Lonchura striata: one gene and its partners. The protein of the gene in region 1 interacts with the protein of each later gene in a pairwise test. Links are inferred from orthologs where the notes say so. Each region holds a gene or a part of one and is shown in the gene's direction. Other genes may lie near its edges. The genes, in order: GRB2, WIPF2 and WIPF1.

Evidence for each region.
Region 2: the proteins of GRB2 (region 1) and WIPF2 interact in binary tests that used the Homo sapiens proteins (3 or more experiments, as listed by UniProt). The link is inferred for Lonchura striata from reciprocal best matches to the Homo sapiens genes GRB2 and WIPF2.
Region 3: the proteins of GRB2 (region 1) and WIPF1 interact in binary tests that used the Homo sapiens proteins (3 or more experiments, as listed by UniProt). The link is inferred for Lonchura striata from reciprocal best matches to the Homo sapiens genes GRB2 and WIPF1.

Annotation. Positions count from the first base shown.
Region 1 is NC_134621.1:5,254,990-5,258,589, forward strand, and holds the start of GRB2 (growth factor receptor-bound protein 2), read left to right. Parts: upstream 1-1,098; 5' UTR 1,099-1,142; intron 1,143-3,600. UniProt on the Homo sapiens protein: Non-enzymatic adapter protein that plays a pivotal role in precisely regulated signaling cascades from cell surface receptors to cellular responses, including signaling transduction and gene expression.
Region 2 is NC_134627.1:6,967,006-6,972,183, reverse strand, and holds the start of WIPF2 (WAS/WASL-interacting protein family member 2), read left to right. Parts: upstream 1-2,167; 5' UTR 2,168-2,218; intron 2,219-5,178. Other genes in the region: RAPGEFL1 (rap guanine nucleotide exchange factor-like 1), read left to right, coding at 262-316, 1,102-1,226. UniProt on the Homo sapiens protein: Plays an active role in the formation of cell surface protrusions downstream of activated PDGFB receptors. Plays an important role in actin-microspike formation through cooperation with WASL.
Region 3 is NC_134610.1:21,547,511-21,552,688, reverse strand, and holds the start of WIPF1 (WAS/WASL-interacting protein family member 1), read left to right. Parts: upstream 1-1,933; 5' UTR 1,934-2,033; intron 2,034-5,178. UniProt on the Homo sapiens protein: Plays a role in the reorganization of the actin cytoskeleton. Contributes with NCK1 and GRB2 in the recruitment and activation of WASL.

The DNA of each region.
Region 1 (3,600 bases):
TTTATGCCTTTATCAAAGGATTGAGGCCTGATGTTTACCTGAGCAACTGCTTTACTGTATAATTAAGAGTATTTTCAAGCTAAAAGAATGTCAGGAGGGTCATCCATGCAAACCCTGACATTAGCTGCCTGTGCAATCTGAATTTTTGTCTCTGTGGATGCTGTAATTGCCATGTGTGATTAAACTATTTGTTCCTACAGCATGGGTGCCTTAATCACTGCTCAGGAGAGATGGCAGTTGTCAAGGAACGGCTCACCAGGTGTGTTCTCTGCTCTGAGCTTTGGGAGCAGCTCTGCACGCCTCGGTGTCTGCTCAAACACTGCCTGGACAAGCTGGGGTGCATCTCTGGTAGTTAGAGAATTTCTAGATCAATTCCTCCTTGCTGGCTCCATGGTGTAGCACATGGCCCTGTCTTACAGAGAAGTGGAGACACTGACAAATTAAGCAAGTATTGTGCACAAAGCCAGCGTGATTTCTCCTCCAGAAACTCAGGGCCTCCTCCCCAAGGTGTTAACAGAGCCTCGATAGCAGAATCACAGACTCAATTTGGTTGGAAAAGACCACGGAGACCAGCGAGGCCAACCTGTGATCCAACACCTCGAGACCATGGCACTGAGTGCCAGGTTCAGTCTTTCCTTAAACACCTGCAGGGACGGTGCCTCCACCACCTGCTGGGCAGCCCGTTGCAGCGGTTCATAACCATTTCGGTGGAAAAATTCTTCCTGATATACAACCAGAACCTCCCCTGGCGCAGCTTTCACGCTGCGCTTTTGTCCTATGGCTAGTGGGCTGGAAAAGCCCGAGCCCCGCCTGGCTACGCCCTCCTTTCAGGTACCCGTGGCGGCCGGTGCGCGCCGCGCCGCTCGGCCGCCGCCTGTCCCCGCCCGCGGCCGGGGCAGGGCAGGTCGGGCCGGTGCTGCGCACGCGCGAGGCGTGCCCGCGCTGCCGGCGGGGCGGGGAGCGCGCAGGCTCCCGCGGAGGGCGCTGACAGCGCGGCTCTCGCGAGAGCTGCGGCGGGACCGGCGGCGCGGCGGGCGGGGGGCCGGGCCGGGGCCGGAGCGGCGGCTGAGGCGGCGCTGGAGCGGCGGCCGGGCCGGGCCGCGCGGGGCCGGGCAGGCGGCGGGAGCGCCCAGCGCTGCGCGGTGAGTCCGGGCCTGTGCAGGGCCGCCGCCCGCCGGGGGCCGTGCCGGGGCGGGGAGCGGGGAGGGCGCACGCTGAGCCCCCGGTGCCGCGGCCTGGGCCCCGCGGTGCTCCGCTCTCCTCGCTGCGCTCCGCCTCGGCGCCGGCCCCGTGTCCCGCCGGGCCTGGCCGGGTCGCGGGGGGTGGAGAGGATGCGGGCTCTGCCGGTGGGGGGGTGGTGGAAATGAGCTTTGGGCTCCAGAGGCGTCATCTGCTCGGCGAGATTCCCGGCTCGCGTACGGGCAGCACCGGGCGGGGGTCGCTTTTCTCTCTGCTCTAGGGCTGCGGCGTGTGGCTGGTCGTGGTTCTTGGGGCTTACCTTTTGTATTCCCCAAAACGAGTTCTGTAACTTAAGGCCGCTTCCAAAGGTTAAAATGCTGCAAGTACCCTGTAGGCAGGATAACATCCCTGCTACACTGTCTCCAAACACGTTTGGGGTCATGCTTCAAACGTGCGTTTCTGTGACGGAGAAGGACATTTTTCTCTTGGCCTCTTCCTTCTCTTCTGAACCTCCTTCTTCAGAACCAGTGCTGGTTTTGTGGGACAAGGTTTGACTTGCCAATATAGTTTCAAATAATCTGTAGAAGACAAGGATGCAGCCTTGTTAACTCCCACAACATCTGACTCAGACACCTCTTTTATAACCTACAGTGAAAACTATTCTGTAGCACAGTTAGTAACTGCAAGAGCAATTCACAGATACAGTGCTTAGGGAAGTTAATTCTTTGTTTCAAAAATTATTAAATGCCTGGGGTCAAGGGACAAAATCTGAAGGACCACAGATGGTTAATCAATCTTCAAACACAGTGTTGTTTGTAATCCATTTCTGTGCCAACTTTGGAAATTTAGAATTTGTGCCACAAAAAGACCTTTCAGTTGTTATCATCTCTTAGGTTGATTGTCATGCCATATTTGGGTGTTTCATCATACCAGCTAAGTTTGTAACTTTTAAAGCAGTTTTACAATGTTTAAAATAAGAAAAAAAAAAAAAAAAAAAGAACTGCCAGTAAATAAATTCTGGCAGAGGTGAAGTTTTCTGTGCTTTGTACTGTAGCTTAGTTTTGTAAGTAATATCTTGAGTTGTCTGGTGCTGAAGGAAGTTGAATCGCATTAAGCTGGTAGATCAGGGGGATAATTGTGATCCTGAATGTTCTGGGGTTTATATGTTAATAATCTAATTTATATTTTACTTTGTTCCTTTATTATGTTATACTTCCTTATTTGGTTAATTTGAATTAGTGTTCTGCCCTTACAATTTTAACTTTCTATTCTTTTGTCTAGAGCCTGACACTTGCATTTCTGCATGTCTTCCCGATGATGTATGCACACATTTTTCTTTCCAACACCCTCAATAATGTTTTGTCCTAAAACAGTTGATGAAGTTGAGGATCTGATTCTTTCCAAAATCTCCTAGTGAATCTATCTTGCCTCTCTTTGGCTTTTCTAAACTGTCTGTTGTTCTATTCCTGCCTGTATCACTTTCCAGAAGAGCAGTAAAACAGTGAAAAGAGAACAATGAGAAAGCTCTCTTTTGTTTAAAAACCATGCTGTTTCTAAGAGTAATGAAAAAAGCTCACCTTTGCCTGTGTGCTTTTTGAAATATCTGTTGAAGTGAGCATGAGAATTGTTTCCTGTTGGCCACTACAGGGAGGTTTGTATTTATAATTACTTTTATTCCATCCTGAGCTGCAGCACTACTACTAATGAGCATTTACTGTTGGCTGCATCTGCTGCCTTTTCTTCCTCTTACCCCTCCCAGTATTTTTAAGAGCAAAGGAAGTCTTAACCCAAGTCACAGTAAGGTGAGAAACACTGATATTTTGAGAAGTCTTAGTCATTTCTCTAGCAAGATCATCTGAAAATTTTTGTAACATGTAATCATTGTATTCATATATTGGCTGTTATTCATTCATACCAGTCTTACTCCACTTGCAGTCTGTGGACTGGGTTCACTGCAGTAACGTGTCCTGTTGCACTGCTCTCTGCCTGAACCAGATACAGCTGTGCTTTTTTCCCCACTCACGCAGTTGGCTTGCTCATGTTTTAATAACAGCATGGCTGAATGTGTGTAAGAACTTATTTAATAATATTGTAAGCAGCAAATGCTTCCTTAAGAGAATTTAAGGGAATTATGCCTTGGCTTTACCTTTCCTAATATTTGCTGTGTGAATATCTTGGTTTAATATTTTCAAAGCTTTTCCCTCTTTCAGATACAACTTTAATGCCTAAACTTCAGCTACACTTTTGTCTAAAGTCAGGAAAGTTAAAGTTTTGCTGCACACTGCAGCTGCTGTTAACATTGTTACCTGGAAACATCACTCCTTTGTATGCTGACAATATATCTGATGGTGGTAGTAGTACTAATGCATGTTTAAAGAGTATTGCATGATGAATCTCTTTCATCTTGAATTGTGCTGGAAA
Region 2 (5,178 bases), on another chromosome or scaffold:
GGGTTCTCAGGGGGAATGGGGCAGAGGGACCCCCAGGATGGGGGCAGGGACTCCCCTGAGGGGCTGGAGGAGCCCCCCTGCCCCGAGGGTTTGGGGCTCTCTGGGGGAGGGTTCAAGGTCTCCTGGGTGCAAACAGGATCCAGGGGGGTCCCTGAGGGTGGGGGGTGTGCAGGAGGCTCCTGGAGGGGTCAGTGGTCCCCGAGGAGATGGGGTGGGGTCTCGGGGGGCTGGGGCTGACTCTGGGGTCTCTCTGTGCCCCAGCACTGCATCGCCGAGAAAGTGAGAACCGTGCGGAAGTACCGGAGCCGCCCCCTCTGTGAGTGGGGGGACGGGGAGGGGGCAGTGCCAGGGCAAGGGGGGCACTGCAGGGGTGAGGGGGGCACTGCAGGGGAGGCCCACACGGCCCTGAACCGGCAGTGCTGGCCCTGAGGGATGGGAATGTGGCCAGAGCATCCTGTACACCTCTTTGTCCATGTCCCTGCATCCCTAAATCCCCGCATGCCCATCCCTCATCCACGCCTTCGTCTCTCATCCCTTCACCCTGCACCCCTGCATGCCTGGATCCCTATCCCTTCATCCCTTCATCCCTGTCCCCACATCCCCATTCCCATGTGGCCATTCCATCCCCGTCCCTGTCTCTTCACCCGCATCCCCTGCATCTCTTCTGTCCTTCAATCCCCACTTTCATGTTGCCATCCCAATTTCCTTCCTGCATCCCTCCATCCCCTCCATCCCTCCATCCCCTTCATCCCTTCCATCCCCACATCCCCTCCATCCCCCACATCCCCTCCATCCCCACATCCCCTCCATCCCCACATCCTCTCCATCCCTTCATCCCCTCCATCCCTCCATTCCCTCCATCCCCACATCCCCTCCATCCCCTCCATCCCTCCATCCCCTCCATCCCCTTCATCCCTTCCATCCCCACATCCCCCCCATCCCCATATCCCCTCCATCCCCTCCATCCCCACATCCCTTCCATCCCCTCCATCCCCACATCCCCCACATCCCCCACATCCCCTCCATCCCCTCCATCCCCACATCCCCTCCATTCCCATTCCCAACCCCATCCCTCCATCCCTGTTCTGGGGCCGTTCCCAGGCCTGGAGCTGGAGGCATCCCCAGCCCAGCTGCAGACCAAGGCCTACGTGCGGCAGCTGCGCGTCATCGACAACCAGAACCTGCTCTTCGAGCTCTCCTACAAGCTGGAGCCTGGCAGCCAGTGAGGGGGGGCCCACCCCGGGACCCCCAAACCCCGGCACCCCCCCGGGGGGCCCGGAGCCCCCCAGCACTGACGCACTTTGCCCAGCCCCGGCCCTTGGGTGCTGCCCCCACCCTTGGGGGGGGGTTGGTTTGGGGACCGCCCCGGCGCACCCCTCTCCCCCTGCCCCCTCCCCTGGCTGGGGCACAGGGGCCCCTGGAGGGGGGTGGCCATGTCCCCCCCTCAGCCCCTCTATTTTTGTATGTGTGGCCCTCCCCCCGCCAGACGTGTATATTTTGTACCGCCGCTGTCCGGAATTGTACATTTATTTTTTAAGAAAAAGGAGGAAAAAAAGGCAAAAAAAAAAAAAAAAAGCCAAAAAAAAAAAAGCCAAGCTGGGGATGGGGCGGGGAGCCCCAATAAAAGTCTGTCCCGGCACTTGTCTCTGATGTCATGCTAGGGGTTGGGGTCACTTGTCTCTGACGTCACGCTAGGGGTTGAGGTCATGGCGGGAGTGACGTCACTGCCTCGCTGTCAGTGACGTCACGGGCGGGGGATGGAGCCGACCTTCCCAAGATGGCGGCAGCGCCGAGCCAACATTTGACCTTCTAAACATGGCGGCCACAAAAGGCTTCCGCCACCCCTCCCACTATGGCGGCCGCTGGGCTCAGCCGACCTCCTCAATATGGCGGAAGGGGTGGGTGAGACAGGCGGCGTAGCCGTGCTCTGTCGCAGCACCGGGGCCTTCCTTTCGGCACAGAGCGGGGAATTTCTTCCCGCTGCTGCCGCTCTGCCTTCGGTCACCGGCACACCGCGGCACTGGGTGCTCACGGAGCCGCCGTGCCCTCCCCGGTACGGCGGTGACGGGCGCGTCCCTCACAGCCACCCGACCTCCTCATCATGGCGCCGCCGTTCCGCCGTGCCCCGCCCGCATCCGGTGCGGCCGCGCAGGCGCAGAGGGGCCGGGGCCGCCATTTCGTTCGGCGGGGCTGGGGCCGGGGCCGGGAGGAGCCGCGGGTGAGCGGGGGAGGGCCGGGGGGGACCGGCGGGCCGGGCCGGGGCTGGCGGGGCTCGGGGGGCCGGGACTGCGGCCGCGGGGCGCCTGTGCGGGGTGTGGCGGCCTGGGGTGGCTGCGTGGGGCCTGTGCCGAGCGCGGGACCGGCGGGGCGGGGGGTGCGCTGAGGCCTGCGCGGATCCGGGGGGTGCCCGGGGCCGGCGGAGGGACCGCGGGGCCGGCTGTGGAGTGACAGGGAGCGGCGAGGCCGGGGGGCTGCAGCCCCCACACATGGAGCCCCTGGAGCGTCCCACCCTGACCCCTGCGCCGCCTGTGAGATCTCCCACCTCCTGACCCCTGGGTCACGTCCGGGACCCTTCCCCAGAACTACCCTGGACCCCCAGCTTGGGTGTGCTCAGAACGTGCGGGTCTTGGGGCTTGTGACCCCACTACCATGGCGATCCTCACTCTGACCTCTCGGTCTCCTCTAAGAGCCGTCCCCTGGAGCTCCACTGAGACCCCCGTGCTGCCCTTGACCCCTCCACCCTGACCCTTGAGTAACGTGTGGGACCCCCCCCCCCCACCCAGGACCCTCCTTGTACCCCCACCCTGGGTGTGCCTGCAGCTGGCAGGACCCCCTGGAATCCCCACCTGACCTCCTGGACTTCTCTGCCCCTCCTTGGGCTCCTGTCTTTGGCTTGGCTGGAACCAGCGGGGCCAGGGGTCTGGGACCTCCACCCTGACCCCTGTGGGATTGCCCTGAGATCCCTGCACTGACCCCTGGACCCCTTCACCCTGACCCCTGGGTCACTTCAGGGACCCCTCTCCAGGACCCCCAACCTGAGGGTCTCCAGAGCTGGCAGGACTAGGGGCCTGGGACCCCCACTGTGACTCCTGGCACCCCTCTGACCCTTCCACTCCTCCCCAGGAACCCCCTGGACCCCCAGCCTGGGGGCGCCCAGAAATGATGGGGCTGAGTACTTGGGGTCCCACCATAGGGACCCCCAGCATGGAGGCTCTGACCCCAGAGTGTCCCCTGATGCTCCCCCTATGGCCTCTGAGACCCCCACCATGACCCCATTGACCCCTCCCCCCTAACTCCTGGGTCACCTCAGGGTCCACTCCCCAAAACCCCCTTGGGGCTGTCCAGAACCGGTAGGACCAGGAGCCAGGGACCCCCAGTGTGACCCCTGCGTCTACCCAGGACCCCTCCACCCTTCTCAGGATCCCCCTGGACCCCCTCTATGACCCCTGGGGCCTCCACACTAACTCCCAGGACCCCAAACTGACTCCCTGGACTCCTCCACTCCTCCCAGGACCCCCTGGACCCCCGCTCTGGGCGTGCTCTGGGGCCTGTCAGGACGGGGGGGACGACCCTGTTTGGGGTACAGAGGGAGGGGTGGACTTTTTGGAGCCTGTAGTGGCTTAGGGACAACCATGGACACAGAGTTCCGTGGAATCCTGGAATGACTTGAGTTGGAAATGACCTGAAATCCCATCTTCCACTGGAAGGGGTTGTTCCAAGCCCCATCCAAGCTGGAACACTTCCAGGGATGGGACAGGCTTTTCAGGACAATGCTGGAGCTGAGTTGTTCCTCCTGCTCCAGGGAAACGCATCCAGGATTCCCCGCTCCCGGTCCAACGGCGTTCCCGACCACCGTGCCTCAGGCAGCGCGGGTGGGAAGGCCGGTGCACCGGGAGCACATCCCCGCGGCGGGATCCCACTGTTGGGATCGCTGTCAGGATCGCTGCACCCGGAATTCCCAGCTCCGGCTCGAAGGAACCGGGAAGTGCCCGCGTCTCCTGCCGCTTCCTCCCTCTGGAACAATTCAGCGCTTCCTGCCCAGCCCCTCGGTCCCTGCCCAGCCCCTCGTGTGCCACCTCTCCCTTCCCGGCTTCCTTTTGCCTTTTCGGAAAAGGGGGAGCGGCAGGGGAGGCTGCGGGCCTGGCAGGACGGGCTTTTCCTGCTTTTCCCTTTGCTGCAGCGGAATTTCGGGACAGGGCGCCTTGCTCCTGATTAAAGGTTTCCTCTGCTGGGTGACCTGAGATGAGCTGGGAGCAAGGGACAGACTGAGCTGCAGGGGTTCTTGGTTGGGGATGGGAAACTGAGGCCAAGGAAACTGGGAATGGGGAAACTGAGGCCAAGGAAAGTGTGTAGAGGAAAACGGAGGATGTGGGAGATGAGGATGGATAGGGAAACAGGTTGTAGAAGCTGTGGGTGGATGGAGAAACTGAGGCTGTGGAGCCCATCTCTGAGGAATTAGAAACTCTGGACTTCGGGGTTTTTGTTAAAAATGCCTCGTCAGAGCCCGCGGGTCGTTAATAATTCACAGGGAGCGTCTGGATCCCGCGGGGCCGGAGCGTGTCTGTCTGTCTGCACGCAGGGATGCGCCGGCTCCGCGGGATGCTCCAAATGGAGCTGGCAGCTCGGCTCGGGAAGCATGCTGATAGGATTTTAAAAGCCTGAATGACCTTAAATCCTGCGATGGCTGTCGCTCAGGATAAATTATTTATGTAGCATCCTCAGCTCCTCGGGAGCGGGCAGGAATGTCAGGCTGCGGAGGACAGGGTTGGAATTTGGGAGGGGGTAAGGAGGAACTGCGGGTTTGGATGGGAAGAGAGGGAAGATAAAGGCGCGGGGGCGGGTGTTGGAGAGGTCCAGCCTTGGAAGTCGTTCCCAAACCGGTGCGGCCGCATTTCTGCACCGACATCAGAGGGTGGAAATTCCTCTTGATCTGCAGTTCAAAGCCTCCCTGAGGATGAGGCGCTGCAGCTCGGGCTTGCAAATGTGAAATACAAATCCGCCCGGAGCCCAAATCCCCCTGAAAAGCGAGGAAATAGGCGGCTGAAGGTCACTGCTGCTGCCTGTCCTGCTCCAGCAGCAATCCCCCCGGGGTGGGGGCTGCTGCTGGGGAGGGCGTTTCAATTCCCTCCACAGCAAACAGGGACTTGAAAAATGTCTGGAAAACATGGCGTGTCTCCC
Region 3 (5,178 bases), on another chromosome or scaffold:
AGAGCAGGTGCATCTGCAGACATATGTTTGCACATGCTTTCCTACTACATCTGCAGGAGCTCAGAGTGCATGCATGAGAAGGGTGTTTGTGTGAGTCTCATTTTATGGGCTAGTTTGTTGGGGGTTTTTCAGTCATGCATGTATTTCCTTTTGCATGGGCATCCTATGCATGTTTACACATAAAATACTTGTATCTTTTATTAGCTGGGGGTAATTTGTTTAACACTTAGCTGCTGCTCTGTAAATCCTCTTGTTGCTGCCTCTTTGCCAGTGATGACTCTTCTCACATCTCTGTGGATAGGAGGTATTCTCAAAACCATTGTTACTCCATTTCCAATTATTTTAACCCACTGATATAAATTACTGGAGCTACTTTGGCTCATTTGATAGTAATGAACTAGTGAGTGTTGGTAAGAAGCCCCGAGGCAGCAGATGGGAATGTAATCCCTGGCTGGTGGTCACCAGGAGGCTGCTCACAACATTGATGTCTTCATTTGGCACAGTTTAATTATAAAGATGACATTTCAGTGGAAACCTCTTAATTTATGTAGAAATTGCATAGAATTCATCTACCCATGGGAAAAGAAGCAGCTCCGATTGGCTTGCTCTGGTCTCTCACTGTAGCCATGGTTTTGTGTGACAGCCTGGGTAGTGGCAGAGCCAACTTCCTACTAGCACTTGTCTGGTTTTGCCTGAAAGTGAGAAAAGGGGGGAAAATCTCATGAGCTTTTGACCTCTAGATCAGCTTCTCAGTGTGGTCCGTGGCACAGCCTGTGGAACAACTGTGCCAACACACTTGGAGCAACTGAGGGATGCAGTGGAAGAACTGAATGGAGGCAGGACAGCCACAAATGACTGTGGCTGCCAAAACCGTTTCCCTCCCAAATTTTGCAGCATCACTGTCTCTTCATTCTCTTCCTACCTTCAAGGTTTTCCCATTTGCACTTAGGTGCAGCTAAAGCAATCTATGCCCCAGCAAAGATCTTTGCAGTCAGTCTGTAATGGAAACCCTCTGGGTTTGTAACCCACTATTTTCACCCAGGCCTTGCCAGGCTGATCAGTTCCCCAGGCATTCTGTTACTAAATAAAGGAATGCAGCATTTTATCTTCACCCCTTAGCTTGATTGATGTGTATTTAGTGTTTTCCACAAGGACCATCTCACAGCAGAGCAGTATCTCCTTGCTGACTCTGGTGTGACCATTCTGCCTCTACTGTGATGTGGTAGTCTTCAAACTTTATCTCCAGGCTGTATCAGTGCACCTGGTGGTGCAATCAGGGTTAGATTGCCTTTCCAAAATTTATGTGTCTTTAAAAAAATGATAAAGCACCACCTATTGACTAGTCCTCTAAACATAGTACTCTAGTAGAGGACTTTACTGTCCTTCCTTTTGTGGCGTGTTCAGACCTGTTTGTCCAGTGCTAGATAACAATATGTGAATGCACACTGATACAACTGAGAAAATCTCTGCTCTTCTGAATACATAAACTACTTTTCATAGAACTCAAACTTGTGTTTACTGTATTCAAATGAAAGTATTTCTGAAAATTGCTGATGACTGCATCTGTTTGAATTCATCAATTCACTACCACTCCAAACATTTGATAAACAAATACCCTTGAACTGAAATTTCCCACGCCTGCAGTGTAATTACATTCTCCACTACTGCATTTGCTTCCCCTTTTTTTAAAGGGGGCCTGGCACACTGAGTAGACTGTGGCAGAATCACATTTGGCATTTGGTATTAATATACAGTACAAAAAGGTCTATTGAATCACGGAGTGACTCAGAAGGCAGTAGAGGAGGGCTTTTTGGCTGTGCAGAAATGTCAGTGGTTCAACATTAGATCAGAAATTTCTTTAACATGTTGTGAGGGACAGTTAGTTGTTTCATCTGATGTTAAAATGCAAGCAAAGCGAGTCTAGCAAGGTGCGGTGAGGAAGTGTGTGTCACATGCTCCTCCACAGGAAACGAGACAGGAGCTGCTGGGGAAGTTCAGAACTGGGTGACCTCCAACACATTCAAATAGCACAGGTTAGTTCTCTTAAAACATCTCTTTAGCTGTCCTGCAGGGGTTCTGCACATGTATTTTCACTGGATTGTGGCAGCAGTGGCTGAGGAGTGCTCTGTATGGCAGTTGTGTAGCGGGTAGTAAGCAGCATGGGATTTCCGAGCAGAACTCTACAGCGCAAAAATAGGAAGCTCATCTGTGAGTTAGCTTGGCTTGTGCAAATCTTGGAGCCTGCCTTGCAGTACAGCAGAAGTGTGGCCTGAGTCACGTTAGAAGTGTGGATGAAATCTTCTCCATCTTAAGACTTCCATAAAGTAAGTTAAAGGTCTGGATTTTTAATAGATGTGTTCAGTGTTAATAAATACTATAAAGCACTTTTCCAAGTAGAGGTTAAAATAATTGACTATAGTGAACATTTATTTTAGTTTGTTTTGGCTGTTTTGGCTCTTCTCTTTGATTTTACTGGCACAGTTTCTTGTTAAAGGTGTTCTCTCATTCCTGGTGATTTCTATTGAGAAATTGCACTTTTCTGTGCTGGAGTGTTTCAACTTGGGAGCACATTGCATCAGGAATGAAATGAAGCTAGGTTGGTGCTGGTGAATTTGGGAGTTCTCAGAGGGTGACTCTTTAATGGGATCTATGTTTTTTACCCCGGCACAAATATAGATTTGTTACTTCTAAAATACTATGCAATTGTGATTAATTACAAATCTGAAATGCAAAGTTGGAGTGAAAGTTACGAAGAAAAGAACTTTCGGGATAATAAAATGTATAATATAGTAAATGCACAGAATCTGAACTAAAATGAAATCGCAGTGTGGAGTCCACGTGGTGCTGGGAGAGTGTGGGGAAGAGGAGGTGATGGCTCCACAGCCAGCTCCAGCAGTGGTGGCTGGAGGCCAAGGAGCTCTCTCTGCACAGAGTCCCCTGCTAGCCAAGGGTCACAGCTTGTGAGGTAGAGGGGCTTGGACAGGGATGGTGGCAGCAATCTCACAGGAAATGCAGCTGCTGCTGGGGATGCCAGTGCTGTGACAAGGCCATGCCAAGCATTAAAATCAGATCTGAGCGTCAGGCAAGAAGTCCTACAGCTGCCCATACATCTTCCCGAATAGTAAAAAAATATTTTTCTGGTCACGTAGAAAACCAGACTAAGTTTCACAGCTCTCTCACCCTCCTTGTACCACCTGAGCACTCATCCTGAGGTCAGTGTAGAAACATCTGCGCACGATGAGCGCAGTGGCTCGTGGCGGGCCAGGCTGCTGCCGCCTCCTGCACGTGGGGTTGGATGCTGCACCTGGTCCTGCTGCAGGGCATGGAGGGTCCTGGCAAGCTGGGAATAGCAGGGCCCTGTTCCTGGGCAGTTAAACAGCTCTGTGGCTCAGCCTTGCAGAGCTTTGCTCTCGTATTTTGTGCTTTGGGGCTTTATACGCAGAGAAGGCTTTGGCCTTAGCTGGGCTCCTCTGCTTCTGTAAAACCAGCAAGTTTTCAGGGAGCCAGAGTTCTGCCCCAAATCAACCTTTCTGATGTATTAGGGTTTATAGTCTTCACTGGAGCACTGTTTAACTAGGACAGTGATTTAAAAGCAATTTAGTAAAATCCCACTGCAGACATTTTCATTTCAGCCTAATCCTGTCTTATAGCGACTCATCTCAAATAGATTAGGAGTTGTTTTAAGCTAAGTGTAATGGCTCGTAAATAATATATTTGAGCCTCCATGCAGTGGTTTGTGCCAGGTATTTGAAATGGAGTTAAAAAATAAACTGACACACATGCCTAAACAAATAAGCCCTAACAGTTTTACCCTGCTAACAGGAGTGAATGTAGGCAACCAGGATTGAAAGAGCTAGAGAGTTGTTGAAGAGGGGGGATTTCTGAATGGGCCTTTTCCAGCAGCTTGTATTATGGAAACCAGGGAAAGAATGTTTCTTCCTCTAACAAATTAGAAAGGAAATCTGCAAAAAGAGGAAAGGGAATAAAAAGTACAGACTAAACAAAATGAATTAAAATTGCATTGGAATGATAGAGAAGGAAACAAAAAAGAGAAAATAATAAAAAAATGAAACCAGATGGGGACAAATTCTCTTCTTAAGAAACAAAGGATATTCTTCTGCTGCACTTCAGAAGGAGGAGAGACTGTGTACGTGTGTTTGTACGTATATTATCTATGGAAGAAAAATTCATTTTTCTGTATGTTTTTTTAAATGGTTTGCTTTTTTTTCTTTCCCTTCAGCAATGCTAATATAGCAGTTTATTGATTTGAGGGAGCTTCAAATTTAGATTAAACCATCATTAAAGAATCTTTAATTCTGCAAATAAATAGAATAAACCACTCAATATCACTCACCTGAATCACTGGCCGGTTTTACTCCCCAGAAACAACATGGCTGCATTGCACTGTTGAACTTCTGTCCACTTGGATCCATAGCACAGGGTTATTCTACTCTCTGCAAGGGAAAAAGTAGGAATTAAATGTGCAACACCAGCTAAAGCAAACCGGAAGTGCACAGACCAGCTTCAGAGAGTTGATAGCAGAATCCCCTTGTGGGTTGCATTTCACCACATAGCTTATGCAAAGATTGCATGGCTGTGAGGGACTGGGGTCTTGAAACTGATTTCTAAATATAAGTAAATATGTAAAATGCTGAATGGCTACTGTTCTTACATTTTATTTCAAAATTACTGATTTTTAAAAATTTTATTTTGTTGGTTCTAATACTGAATACATCAATTGGTCGAGTGTATTTTTTGTGGGGGCATTATTTGCAGCTCACATCTTCCAGGCTGTTGCTTCTCCTTTTCTTCCCCCACACATTTGTTTCAGCTTTTGCACGTGTTTTTCTCTAGCCTAAACTACAGAAACCTCCTAATTACAAAGCTAGTTGTTGAGTCATATCTCTTACTAGGAGCAGCTGTTGTAGTGGATAACTCTGTTCAGTCATGCCATCACATCCGTGGCTTTTTATGCCTTTCTGTTTTCCTTCCACCATTTATGTTGGTTTTTGCTATAGTATGTATGCTATGCTGAAGTTGGAAGAATGGTCTTAAATTTGTTTGAGAATAAACTGGGTCCTCTGGCCTCAGTGAGCAATAAGGAGAACCCAGCCAGTGTGTTTTCCTGTTCTGATTGCCCTTTAGAAGGAGGGAAGCACTTCTTTGCAGTATGCTGCC